Macaca fascicularis: one gene and its partners. The protein of the gene in region 1 binds, or shares a complex with, the protein of each later gene. Links are inferred from orthologs where the notes say so. Each region holds a gene or a part of one and is shown on either strand. Other genes may lie near its edges.

Region 1 (4,367 bases):
TTTTTTATTATTTTTTTTTTTTTTGAGACGGAGTCTTGCTCTGTCACCCAGGCTGGAGTGCAGTGGCCGGATCTCAGCTCACTGCAAGCTCCGCCTCCCGGGTTTACGCCATTCTCCTGCCTCAGCCTCCCCAGTAGCTGGGACTACAGGCGCCCGCCACCTCGCCCGGCTATTTTTTTGTATTTTTTAGTAGAGACGGGGTTTCACCGTGTTAGCCGGGATCGTCTCTCGATCTCCTGACCTCGTGATCTGCCCGTCTCGGCCTCCCAAAGTGCTGGGATTACAGGCTTGAGCCACCGCGCCCGGCCCAGGCAAAGTATTTAACCTCTCTAAACCTATTTCATTATCTGTACAACGAGACTGACAATATCTAACTTGTGGGGCTGTGATAATTAAATCATAGAATACTCAAAAGTACCTAAGCTGTGCCTGGTTAGTCTGAGTAGGTTTCAGAAAAAGATATTAATATTGAAGTAAGTGACTGGTGCAAGTCTCCCCACCATTCTTATCCAAAAGCAGCCATCCCTAGTAAATGTTTGCACTAAAAATGCAGGACACACTTATTTATGGCTTTCCAAACAGCTTATTAAATAAATAAATAAATAACACTGAGCTTTATTTAAAGGTTCCAGCCAGGTGCAGTGGCTCATGCCTATAATCCCAACATTCTGGGATATCAAGGTGGGAGAATCACTTGAGGACAAGAATTCAACACCAGCCTAGGCAACACAGCCAAACACCGTCTCTACAAAAAAACTTAAAAATTAGCTGGGTGTAGTGGCTCATACCTGTAGTCCCAGCTACCCAGGAGGCTGAGGCAGGAGGAGTGCTTGAGCTCAAGAATATAGGTTGCAGTGAGCTATGATGATGCCACTGCACTCCAATATGGGCAACAAAACAAGACCCTGTCTCAAAAATATAAAAATAAAAATAAAGGTTTCCTTACTATTAAGTGACATTTACTGTATCAATGTCAATGCAGTAATAACACTCAAAGTATCAGAAACTGTAAAAATTTCCAGTTTTTACTGGAAATAAAAACTGGGCCAGGCGTGGTGGCTCATGTCTATAATCCCAGCACTTCGGGAGGCTGAGGTGGGCAGATCACTTTAGGTCAGGAGTTCGAAACCAGCCTGGCCAACATGGTAAAACCCTGTCTCTACTAAAAATACAAAAATTAGCTGGGCATTGTAGCACACACCTGTAATTCCAGCTACTTGAGAGGCTGAGGCAGGAGAATCTTTTGAACCGGGGAAGCAGAGATTGCAGTGAGCTGAGATCGTGCCACTGCACGCCAGCCTGGGTGACTCTGTCTCAAAAAAAGAAAACTGGAAGCGGGGGGAAGTGACTCATGCCTGCAATCCCAGCACTCTGGGAGACCAAGGTGGGAGGATCACTTGAGCCTAGGAGTTTGAGACCAGCCTGGGCAACATAGTGAGATCCTGTTTCTACAAAAAATTTAAAAATTAGCAGGGTGTGGAGGCACATGCCTGTAGTTCCAGCTACTCAGGAGGTATATATAGGTGGGAAGATTGCTTGAGCCTAGGAGGTTGACGTGCATGGTGCCAAGATTGAGCCACTGCACTTCAGCCTGGGCAACAGAGAGAGAACCTGTCTCAAAAAAAAAAAAAAAAAAAAAAAAAAAAAAAAAAAAAATTCCCTCCTGAGTTTGAAGATAAAGCAAAGATTCTGGAAGCATTTAAGGAACATTAACCAAGCATCTCATTTGCTACGCACAGAAGGGTACTGTATTAAAATTATGATCTAACCATTGCCTCACTGTAATCCTAAACCTCTTTGAACCTTAGCCTCCTTAAATGTAAAATAGGAGTTTTTAAAAGATGATCTTTTGGGACTCTTCCATCACTGACATTCTTTTACTTGAGATGCAGAGATCTGTGCTCATTCAGGGTTGAGTGGAATGGGATTTAAAGCACTTATCAAGTATATAACTGAGTTCCAACTGTTTTCAACTTCACATCTGATTCCCAAGAATGAAGCAGAAAATGAAGATGTTTGCATGTGGGCTTCCTAGATTGAGTATCTAACACAAGAAAAGCCTGCCAAGAGCCAAGCAGGCAGTGCGAAGGAGAAGTTGTCTTCCCCTGAATACGTCCTTTATCTCTCTGGGTTCAGGGAATACTGTGGAAAAAAAAATGGATCACTAAATATTTTCCAAACCCTTTCCCTTTACTTTCTAGGCTGATCTCACATCCATGGTCCCTTAGATCCAAGGCTTTTAGGAGCTTGGGTCCTCACCGCCCTGTTCTGAGACTCAGGTACTCGGAGTCTCAAAGCCCGGATCCCGTCCCCAAAGAAGCCCCAGTCTTCACTGCCCGCTTCTGTTCCCTTCCAAACTCAAGTTTTCTCTGTCTGCTTCTGCCCCTCAGGAACCTGAGTCTTCGCTGCCCCGTTTCTGAATCCTTAGGAGGCCGGGTCTTCACTGTCCCGCTTCTGCCTCTTAGAAGCCCAAGTCCTCACCGCTCCACTTTTACCTCTCCGGAGCCCGTGTCTTCACACCCCGTTCCTTTCCGACCCTCTCCTCGTAGGAGTGCGGGTCCTCATAATCCTGCTCCTCTCAGACCACTTTCCCTCAGATGCCGGAGAACTCAGATCCGTCCCCGTTCCCTAAGTCCCGTCTTGGAGCCCAGGTCCCCACAGCCGCGTCTTCTCCGAGCCTGATCCTCTGTCAGTCCCTTCCCAAGAGCCTGAATCCTCACAGCCCCGTCTCGTCCACAACCTGGTCCTTCGAACACTGACCTACTGTAGATCTGGGTCCTGACTCCCTCCTCCCGCTCTTGTTCCTCAACTGCCAGGGCCCAAGACTCACAGGCAGCAGCGTCTATCTCCCCATGATATGCGGAGACTGCCCCAGAGAAGCGTTCGTCTCAGCAGCCGGTCCGACTGCGCGGCCCTCCCCGACTACTTCCGGCACCGCTCCCCGCCTCCAACCCGGAAACGCGCGGCTCTTCCGGCCGGCGGGCGCGCGCCTCGCTTGCGCAGGCGCAGACTGCCCTCCGACACGTGGTGGCGATCTTGAGCTGTGTGTAGCTGTAGCCTGCAGCTTGCGCTTTTAACTGCTTGTAGTTGAGTGGCAGCATGAGCGAGCTCTGCGTATTCCACCCCGGCGTTAAGAATCCTTCACTAGCTTTTCTTCCCGACTCTGCTTATTTATCCATCGGTAGCATGACGGGTAATTGACGCCCTCGGATGGCTTTGAGGTCGCCATTTTTGGTTGGTGCCTTTGTCATGGTGTCAGGACCAGGATATCATCTGGGACACATTACCCCACAGGTATCCTGTTGAACCTCAACGAGGAAGTTGGCAACACAGGAACCGGGAGATGAGACAGATCGGTTGGTTGTGCCTGTGAACTGGCAATTCAGTAATAACAATTGACTGCTGACTGTTTGCCAGGAATTGTGCTAATCGGCTTACCTCCGTTACGCCATTTAATCAGTTAGAGGAGACCTGTGAGAGATTAAGCAAAATTCTAGCTAATAAGTGCAGAGCCTCAGCTTGAACTCAGACCTCACTACTAAGCCAAAGCCTATCCTGTAGCATTCTCTACAGGACAGTTTTTTGCTGTCAAATGCTTGGTGAGAATTGCTTTTATGTGGCTCACGCCTGTGATCCCAGCACTTTGGGAGGCCGAGGCGGGTGGATCACGAGGTCAGGAGTTCAAGACCAGCCTTGCCAAGATGGTGAAACCCCGTCTCTACTAAAAATACAAAACAATTAGCCGGGCGTGGTGGCACGCGTCTGTAATCGCTACTCCGGAGGCTGAAGCAGAGAACTGCTTAAACCTGGAGGGGCGGAGGTTGCAGTGAGCCGAGATCGCGCCACTGCACTCCGGCCTGGGTGACAGAGCGAGACTCTGTCTCAAAAAAAAAAAGAGAGAACTGTTATTTTTTACTGTATGCTGGAATGTTAGGTATGCAAGTCAGACCCAGTTCCAGCATCTGTAAGGTTCACAGTAAAATGGAGAAGAACCCACAAACACACCAAAAAATGTATAAAGAGCTGTGGGCCGGGCGCGGTGGCTCAAGCCTGTAATCCCAGCACTTTGGGAGGCCGAGACGGGCGGATCACAAGGTCAGGAGATTGAGACCATCCTGGCGAACACGGTGAAACCCCGTCTCTACTAAAAATACATAAAAAAACTAGCCGGGCGAGGTGGTGGGCGCCTGTAATCCCAGCTACTCGGGAGGCTGAGGCAGGAGAATGGCATAAACCCGGGAGGCGGAGCTTGCAGTGAGCTGAGATCCGGCCACTGCACTCCAGCCTGGGCTACAGAGCGAGACTCCATCTCAAAAAAAAAAAAAAGCTGTGACAGGCCAGTGTGAGCCACAGTATCTGCCAGCAGA
Region 2 (4,620 bases), on another chromosome or scaffold:
AGCTTCTCATAAACCAACCTGTCAGAAACAAATTGCATACAACTCTACCTCTTTTATCAGTAACTGATTTTTCAAAAATAGCTCATGTTGTGAGGCATTAGATTATCTTTAAAGCATGAGAAATTTGGTACCGACTTACTTTATGAGCAATTTTGATGAAATGACATTGATAAATGACCTCAGTTCTCAGATTATTAATTATAAGAACTCAACTGAAGAAAAATAGAAATAAAATCTTAATCCAAACCAATGGAATGATTCATTGGACTGCACTTGATAACCACTGCTTTGTTTCCAACATTTTGTGCAGGTAGATTTAGTAAGCTTTTTAAAAAAGGCACGAAGGCCTTCATCTACAAAAATTAGGGTAGTTTAAGAAAGCTCTGTATCTAATGTTTCCCAGCTTTCAAGTAGATCAGATAGAACTGGAATCTTAATATGATGCAAACATGACAATTCCCAATTTCTTTACCCCTGCTGTGTTGCTTTTTTTCATAAACCAAACTGCCTCTACCTGCAGAACTGGATCAAATTTCTTAGTCACTAAACTCCACCACAAAACCACCTCAAAAGGGACCTGACTCCCACCAACCATGAAAGAACAAGATACACTACAAAGTGAAAAACAGATGCTTTTATTTATTGTATTGTAAACAACTTAATAAAATTTGCATCTCTACATATGGGAAACTGCTTTGAGTAACTGGGAAAACAGCTATTGCATGGGAAAACATATGCAAACTAGCATCACTGTCTCTAGACTAGGTTCTTCTTATTGATCTCATGTCATCATAAGGCAGCAACAGCAGCTTCTAGAAAATGGAGAAACAGCAAAGTCCTGCAGTGGAGCTATAATTAAGGTTGAACCATACATTCCACTAATCCTGCAACTTTCCTACTATCATTTTTCTGCCTATACAATCCTGCTTCTTATAGGATGAACACCTAGCAAAACAATGTAAATTTGCTGAAAAACAAAACTATAAACAAATGAAAGAACTTAACAGAACACACAGCATTAGAGGGACTAGGAAGTGCAAGGTGTTAATATCCAGTACAAGTAATAAAGCCAAGAATTTTCTAATGCTGATCAGTCTGAACACTGAAATTAAGAATCAGTTCTTTTTACTTCTCTAGGAGTGATTCTAGCTCTTCTTGCAAAGAGCTGAGTTGCTCCTTTTCTCGGTCTTCCTTTTGTTTGAGCTCATCCAGTACAGCCTGAAATCTGTTCTTGAGAGCCAGATTTTCCACTTTCATGATGAGATCCTCTTGTCGTTTTGCCCTGTCCTGGGTCTCTTGGAGCTTGCCTTTCATGTTGTCAATCTGCTTCTGAATTCCCATAACCAGCTGATTGGTTCCCTCATTTTCCTGGTGCTGTTCATCTGATTCATTTAGCTTGTCCTGTAGTTGTCTCTCCAGATCTTCCTCAGTGTCAATGATGTTTATATCTTCTTCATCTTGATGCTGGGTCTCATCTTCATCCTCACTGCTGCTGCTGAGGTCATTGAATATCTCCCGAAGCTCATCATGTTCTAATGAGTCATGGCCCTGCCTGTGACCAGACATTCCTGGAGAAGAGATATCCAGGCCTTGATTTTCTGCCTCCTTTGTTTCATCTTCAGCAATTATTTCCCACCGAGTACTAACAGCTTCAGCATCTGTACTCAGCAATCGTTTCACTTCTTTTTCCACATCTGGAGATTCAATATATTTCTTCTTTGCTGTCTTCCGGAACCTTCTCTTCCTGACATTCTTCAGAGGCAGAGTAATTCCGTGGTTCCAGATAAACTTTTTCTCTTTGTCCTTATCCTTTTTCTTGCTTGCTTTAGGATCAGTGCTAGCAACTGGCTCCTCCACAGGTGGATAGAGATCACCATCAACTGTGGATACAAGCATCTGACAGATATCAGCTGTCTTGTAAAAGGTTTTCTTATCAATGGTTTTCAAGCTTTCCATAACACAGGGCAGGTCTACCAATTTTGAGGCCAATGGAACACGGTCCACTCTGACGATTCCATGACGCCCATCAGGATGTAACTCAATTGTCAGTCTGTCCTTGAGGTTGACATGACCAGACTGTACTGCTCTTCTCACAGTAGAGGCATATTCTGGAGGCAGACGTAAGATAAACTGGCTCTCCAGTTCGTGAGGAGCATCATCTTTGCTTTTACTCATTTTTATTTCTTTGTGACTCACTTCTCCAATAAATGATGGTTACCGTAAAAAGTTCCAGCTACTGCAATAATTTAAAACACCAGTTCGCTATGAATTGAAATATTTTAATTACAAGAAGTTCTCTGTAGATCAGCAGCTTAGCGTCTATTTTGCCTTCGTTTTTATTTAAGCTCCAAGTCTTTTCTCTAAATATGCTGTGACCAAATACCAGTCGTTAACACAAAGGCTTATTCACAGACTTAAGTTCATTAAATCAGATGCAATGCCAAGTCCCAACCTCTAGGTGCCGCTGCCCGACAACGCGGAGACAGCTACCTAGCTAGGAAGCAGGAAAGCAAATGGCGGCTCCCGCGGAACGGTTTTCGGCCCAGAAAGGCCAGCAGAGATACTCTCAATTTACAAACTCTCCCGGAACAGACACTCAAAACATCAGGGCTCAGTGAGCTCTCTTCGCCTCGGGTACTTACAATCCAGTGACGATTATAAGTTCAGTTTCACCGGGCCGGAGCGAAGGGAAGAGGAGGCCGCAAGGAGCAAAGCGGGAGGCAGCCAAGCGTCTCCTTGTCGTTTCCTTAATTCTTCCTGCCGCTTGGCAGAGTGATCCACTATCGATTACTGATGAAAGCCCAGGATGGGCAACGCGAAATCTTGCCGAGAGGCGCAGCTCGGAGAACCAGACCCGGCACCTCGCCGGCCCTCCGTTCGACCGCTTGCCCAGAGAAAACGGAAGTGCTACGTCACGACGCGGGGCGGGAGGTGGATGTGAGTGACAGCCCCTCCGGCCGGAAGGGCGGAGCCCCGGCGCGCGCAGGCGCAATAGCGCAATTACGCTGCCCAGCGTGAAACTCGTCTTTTCGCGAGAACTTGCTTTTCTAGGATGAAAATGATAGTGTTTTCGAAGAGCTGTTGGTTTCAAACTATTTAGCGCTTGGAAGTTACAAGAAAGACACGGATTCGTCCCCCGCTAAGCCAGCACTTTTAAGGGATCGCTGTGGGGCCGGATGGCTTCTAGACTTCCGGGTGATTCCGGGAGATGGGGGACGCCTGGCAGTAAGCGTCTTTGCTTCTGGAAACATCTCGGATGCTTCCTAGGGTCTAGCCAATCTGGTGCCAATACAAGAATGTGTAGCTACTATACAATGGATTTTAAAGAACCCAAATCAGTGGAGTGAGGAGGACATGGAGCTCACTATATAATTCTAAACCTCTCTTTGTTTGTTTGTTTGTTTGTTTTGGAAATGGAGTCTAGGCTGTCACCCAGGCTTGAGTGTAGTGGCACAATATTGGCTCACTGCAATCTGCACCTCCAGGGTTCAAGCGATTCTCCTGCCTCAGCCTCTTGAGTAGCTGGGATTACAGGCACCTTCCACTACCCCAGCTAAGTTTGGTATTTTTAGTAGAGAAGGGGTTTCACCATGTTGGCCAGGCTGGTCTCCAACTCCTGACCTGAGGTGATTTGCCTGTCTTGGCCTCCCAAAGTACTGGGATTATAGGTGTGAGCCACCGTGCCTGGCCCAAAGTCTATATTTTGTTTAATATAATTCCCTGTAGGGGAATTGTGCCTCTGGGTTTCCTTCTGTTCTGTAATACTCCTGAGGAAACAAGGGTGATTCCTTTTTATATGCTTGATTTAGATGTAAATGTAAGCAGAGAAGGAAGTGTTCTTCTGCAAGCACAGGTTCATTTTGGACAGAATTGTCTGATAGACTGAGCATCTGGTTAAAGTAGACATAATTGAAGTATTGTTTCCTGCTTCTCATGTACAAGTAATTTTAAATACTTTGACTTTTTTTTTAACTCCACCTCTACTATTTTGCTGTTTTGTGCTTGTCTTTTCTTTGGAGGGTCAGGTATTCATCAACACATATTTTTAGTATTTTGACATAACTGGGTAACAGTTGGTACTTATTTCTATTTATTTCCATTTATTTTTAAAATATCTGGTAGAGCATCAAGGCCATTAACATTTAATTTCTATCCTCTAAAATATTACCAATTGCCCCTAAATTTAAGAGAATTCTCTTAAGATGTAATTAACATTTCCAAAATTCACTTTATTCCTGTATGATTGAAAGCTCCATGATAGTGATCTTTTTCTATCCTGGTCATTGTGTCCCAGTGCCTAGTACCAGAACATGGGAGATACACAAAAAATATTTGCTAATTGAATGAAAAAATTGATCTATCTAGAAAGATCATAGTCTTAAATGCTGTAGTGATTTGTGAGAGAAAATACATTCTTTGTCACTTTAAAATGAGATAGAGCCACTTTACATACATTTCCTCTCTAGTCAGGGACAATGCTAATTGTTATGAGGTGGGGAGGTTTGCTAATAGTGTGTGTGAATGTGGTTTAGCTAGAATGAGATACTGTCGTGGGAGGAAATTAAAATGACCTGAGGTTAGTTTGGTTCTTAATGTTAATTTTAAAAGAGAAAGTATGCC
Region 3 (4,674 bases), on another chromosome or scaffold:
TGTATCCTTATTAACTCCTTGTTCCTACACTCTTCTGATTTATTTTGTTCTTTATCTGTTGTTTGTTTGTTTGTTTGTTTTTTCCCCAGACTCACTCTGTTGCCCAGGCTGGATCATAGCTCACTGCAGCCTCAAGTGATCCTCCCGTGTCAGCCTGCCAGGTAGCTAGGTCTGTAGGTGTGACCTACTCCACTAGGCCCTTTATCTGGTCTCTTGAGTCAGGTGCTTATTTGCAGTATCTTCTGGTTGTTAATAAAAATATGTAAGGCTATACATTTTTCTTTAAATAAAGCTTTGGCCAAATCCCATATCATTTGATAAAGTGTTCTGTTAATTTCTTTAGTCTAAAGGCTATTTAAAAAATAGTTTAAAATTTCCAGGGGGTTCTTTTTTGGTGGGGGAGAAGCTTTTTGTAGTTAATTTCAAGTTTAATGCATTGCATTAACAAGATGTGGCCTGTTATGATATCTACTTTTAAGAATTCATATTTTTCTTCATGGTCTAGTACATGATTGATTTTTAAAAGTGTTTCAGAAACAACATAATTTTATCCTCTGTTCGGTGCAAATTTATATATGTAGTGAGCTCTCTAGTGTACCAAGCTAATTATTCAAATCCTTGCTGTCCTTGACACCTGTTTTAAAGTTTCCTTCTTGGCCAGGCATGGTGGCTCCCACCTGTAATCTTAGCACTTTGGGAGGCTGAGGCGGAAGGATTACTTCAGCCCAGTGAGTTGGAGACCAGACTGGGCAATATAATGAGACCTTGTCTCTACCAAAACAATATTTAAAAAACCTTTAGCTGGCCAGGTGCGGTGGCTCATGCCTATAATCCCAGAACTTTGGGAGGCTGAGGCAGATGGATCATGACGTCAGGAGTTCAAGACCAGCCTGCGCAACTTGGTGAAACCTTGGCTCTACTAAAAATACAAAAATTAGCTGGGCACAGTGGCACGTGCCTGTAATCCCAGTTACTGGGGAGGCTGAGGCAGGAGAATCACTTGAGCCTGGGAGGCGGAGGTTGCAGTAGGCCGAGATTGCGCCATTGCACTCCAGCCTGGGCAACAGAGCGAGACTCCGTCTCAAAAACGAAACAAAACAAAACAAAACAATACAAAAACTTCAGCTGAGCGTGGTGCAGTATGCTTGCAATCCCAGTTACTGCGGAGGCTGAGATAAGAGGGTTGCTTGAGCCCAGGAGGCAGAGACTGTGCCACTGCACTCCAGGCTGGGTGACAGAGTGAGACCTTGTCTCAACAAACCAACAAAAACTGCCTTAAAGGAGCTTGCAGTGAGCCGAGATCGCGCCACTGCACATTCCAGCCTGGGTGACAGAGCGAGTACTCAGTCTCAAAAACAAAAACAAAAACAAAAAAAGAAACCTGCCTTAAAATACTTTTGTCAAATGTTCTCTTTTTCTTTTTTTCGAGACGGAGTTTCACTCTGGCACCCAAGCTGGTGTGCAGTGGTGCGATCTCGGCTCACTGCAACCTCTGCCTCCCAGGTTCAAGCGATTCTTGTGCCTCAGCCTCCTAAGTAGCCGGGATTACAGGCGCCTGCCACCATGCCCAGCTAATTTTTGTATTTTTAGTAGAGACAGGGTTTCCCCATATTGGGGATCTCCTGACCTCAGGCGATCCACCCACCTCCGCCTCCCAAAGATTACAGGCGTGAGCCACTGCACCCGGCCAAATTTTCTCTTTTTCTAAAAGTTCTTACTTTATATATTTTTATGCAACTTTATACACTGAAAGGCTATTTCCATCTAATCTACTGTTCACCCCACGATCTCTTAAATCCCTTCTAGCTCTAAGACCCCAAGATTCTACTTCCAGAAATGTAATCCAGAGAACGATGAGTTTCTGGTCCTGACCAATGTTCAGCTAGGCAACACTGCTGAACTCTCTGTAGCATAAAAACACCAGACCCAACTGATGGGTCCCTGATCACCGGGTGCTGTGGCTCACACCTGTAATCCCAGCACTTTGGGAGGCCGAGGCGGACGGATCACGAGGTCAGGGGTTCGAGACCAGCCTGGCCAACATGGTAAAACCCCGTCTCTAATAAAAATACAAAAATTAGCCGGGCATGGTGGTGTGAGCCTGTAATCCCAGCTACTTGGGAGGCTGAAGCAAGAGAATCGCGTGAACCCGGGAGGCGGAGGTTGCAGTGAGCCAGAGATCGCGCCATTGTACTACAGCCCGGGCGACACTTTTATAAAAGTCTATCTCCCTTTGACAGGTTTGATCGACCCTCCTTCCTATAAAGAAACAAAGTTGTCTTAACATCTAAGACGAACCATATTGCGGTGAAAGGGGTGCTACGAATCCTGGGTTTTAGCTCTTGCACTGCGTCTCAGTGTGACACTGGATCCCAGTTTCCTCACCACTAAAGCCAATAGGCTATTAAAACTCCCTTAGAAGTAGCTTTAATCCCTTGACAAGACTAAAAATATTAACGCAGTGCTTGAGCCTCTGGAACGGAACCAGCACTGGAGTTCTGTTTGGTCGTCCGCTCTCTTCCCCCTCAAGATTAACGATCTGGAGGGAGTTCTGGTGAGTTCGAGTTCTCGTAACTTGGGAGGGACTAACCAGAAGCCCGGCAAGCACCCAGTAACACGATCTCTGGGTATTCCTTCAGCCTCATCGATACATCTCTTCCTACCTCGCCTTCCTCCGCTGCAGCTTCTTTCAAGTCCGCATCTGCGTCTCCGTCAGTTTCCTCTGGGATTCCATCCGTGTCGGTAGCCCCCGGGTCCCCGGACGCAGCGGCCGTCTCATCCGACTCCCCTGTCTCTCCACCTTTGTCGGAGGGCGACTCGCGGGCATCGTCCATCACGGATAGGATTGGAGGGGAGAGGAGATCGCGGCGATGTCTGAGGCAGAAGCTCGGAACCCCGAGCTGCACAGGACAGTATCTTACTTCCTGTCGTCGCGCAGCGATGACATCACCCCTACCGCTCTCCTGAGGGGTCATTTTGAGGCGCGCGTAGAGGACTAGAGGACTCATTTTAACTTTGGTTTGGCGACAGTGGGAAGCGGGAAAATTGGACGTAAAGAGCTCAGACTATGGATCCTCCTAGCTAGGAAACCAGCACTTGTGAAGGAGCGCAGTTTTGTTTACTAAATAACTTTTTCCTTTTCGCCTGTCTAAAAATTCAATACCAGTTAATCCCTTCGTTAACCCCTCAGAGTAAAGTTGGGGGATCGGGAGAAAACTCAGTTCCGTTGTATGGCGGTGTCGTGGAATGAGGCTACCCGGGATTGGTAAACTTTCAGGCAAGACTCAACCTTGTGTATTTCAACTGGCCCGAAACCGCGGGTCTGTGTGTACGTGGAATTGCTAGCATTTCCGCTCCATTCAGCAAGCACCTTAACAACAAAAAGTCATCTAGCTTGAGCAGAATTTATCCAATTCATTTATTCATCCACAACTATTGACTGCGTACTTCGATTTAGAAACAGTGCTAGTACCAGGGAACAAAACACACATAGTTTCTATCCAATTAAATGATTTTTTTTCAGTTCGCAAGTATTCAAGATTGAGGTTTGTTTCTACAAGTCTGACACTTTTCTATCATTTTGGTTAATCTTACCAAAACTAAGAGGAAAGCCTAAAGAGAGGAAGGTGTCTCCTTCGAACGTTTCACTTTAACGAACTAGTTCATGTACTGGGAGGATGAAGTGGTGAGGATATTTCTATTTTAAAATTTTCTTCTCTTCCCTCATAGAGATACGAGGGGGAGGGCGTTTTATTCACCTGGGTATGACTAGGTCCCAGCACCTATTACATATTTAATTTATGCGTGCTTAAAGAATGTCCTTGGAAATGTAGGTGCGCGTTACCATATTTATCTCTTTGTTTCTGCGCTGCCTGGACGAATTGCCGTATTTCCTGTCCCAGGAGCTCCCAAAACGTTTAGGGAAGGAGCGCACTTCGGGAGGCGCGTACAGGTGGGCCTGTTTGTCCCTTTCCACCTATATAATGGGGACCCACAAGGCGCTGTCCCCATAACCCGTGAGGCCTGTCTCGGCACAGCAAAATCCACCTGCGCTGGTCCGCGGAGCCCCGCCCAGCTAGGTGAGCTAGGGGGCGGGGCGCGGGGGCGCGGTGACGCGTGACGCCGGATCCCGGAAGTGACGCGCTCGTGGAGAAAAGGCAGGGAGGGGGGGTGGTGTCCCCAGCCGGTTTGGGGGGTGCGTTGCCCGGAGACGGAAAGTTTGGGAGCCCGAGCAGGCTCGGCTGCAGCCCCGGGGAGGGGGGTCCAGCGGGTGGCGGCCCTGGGGATGGGGAAGGAGCAGGAGCTGCTGGAGGCGGCCCGCACCGGGCACCTCCCGGCGGTGGAGAAGCTGCTGTCCGGGAAGCGGCTCTCCTCTGGCTTTGGGGGCGGCGGCGGCGGCGGCGGCGGCGGCTCTGGGGGCGGCGGCGGCGGCGGCCTCGGCTCTTCCAGCCACCCCCTCTCCAGTCTGCTCAGGTGGGTACGCGCCGGGGCCGGGCCGCTGCCTGCAGACCCCTTCTCCCCCACCCGTCTCTTGGGTCTCCAGAGAGATCGGGGGTCCTGAGACTCGGGCGGGGTGGGCTTGTGGCGTGCCCGGGGCGAGGCAGGCGGCGCACGGGCCAGGATACCGGAGGGCGCGCGGGTCCGAGTCCACGCTGCTCCGGGCTCGCCTGGTCT

Evidence for each region. The genes of interacting proteins can lie anywhere in the genome.
Region 2: TAF12 (region 1) and TAF7 share a complex: the UniProt entries of both Homo sapiens proteins name them as parts of the TFIID basal transcription factor complex. The link is inferred for Macaca fascicularis from reciprocal best matches to the Homo sapiens genes TAF12 and TAF7.
Region 3: TAF12 (region 1) and TAF11 share a complex: the UniProt entries of both Homo sapiens proteins name them as parts of the TFIID basal transcription factor complex. The link is inferred for Macaca fascicularis from reciprocal best matches to the Homo sapiens genes TAF12 and TAF11.

The regions. Positions count from the first base shown.
Region 1 is NC_088375.1:206,387,846-206,392,212, reverse strand, and holds the start of TAF12 (transcription initiation factor TFIID subunit 12), read right to left. Parts: upstream 2,944-4,367; 5' UTR 2,761-2,943; exon of another isoform or gene 2,496-2,760; intron 1-2,495. UniProt on the Homo sapiens protein: The TFIID basal transcription factor complex plays a major role in the initiation of RNA polymerase II (Pol II)-dependent transcription.
Region 2 is NC_088380.1:147,784,442-147,789,061, forward strand, and holds TAF7 (transcription initiation factor TFIID subunit 7), read right to left. Parts: upstream 2,907-4,620; 5' UTR 2,176-2,906; coding exon 1,126-2,175; 3' UTR 620-1,125; downstream 1-619. UniProt on the Homo sapiens protein: The TFIID basal transcription factor complex plays a major role in the initiation of RNA polymerase II (Pol II)-dependent transcription.
Region 3 is NC_088378.1:136,805,035-136,809,708, reverse strand, and holds the start of TAF11 (transcription initiation factor TFIID subunit 11), read right to left. Parts: upstream 2,920-4,674; 5' UTR 2,835-2,919; coding exon 2,664-2,834; intron 1-2,663. Other genes in the region: ANKS1A (ankyrin repeat and SAM domain-containing protein 1A), read left to right, coding at 4,286-4,473. UniProt on the Homo sapiens protein: The TFIID basal transcription factor complex plays a major role in the initiation of RNA polymerase II (Pol II)-dependent transcription.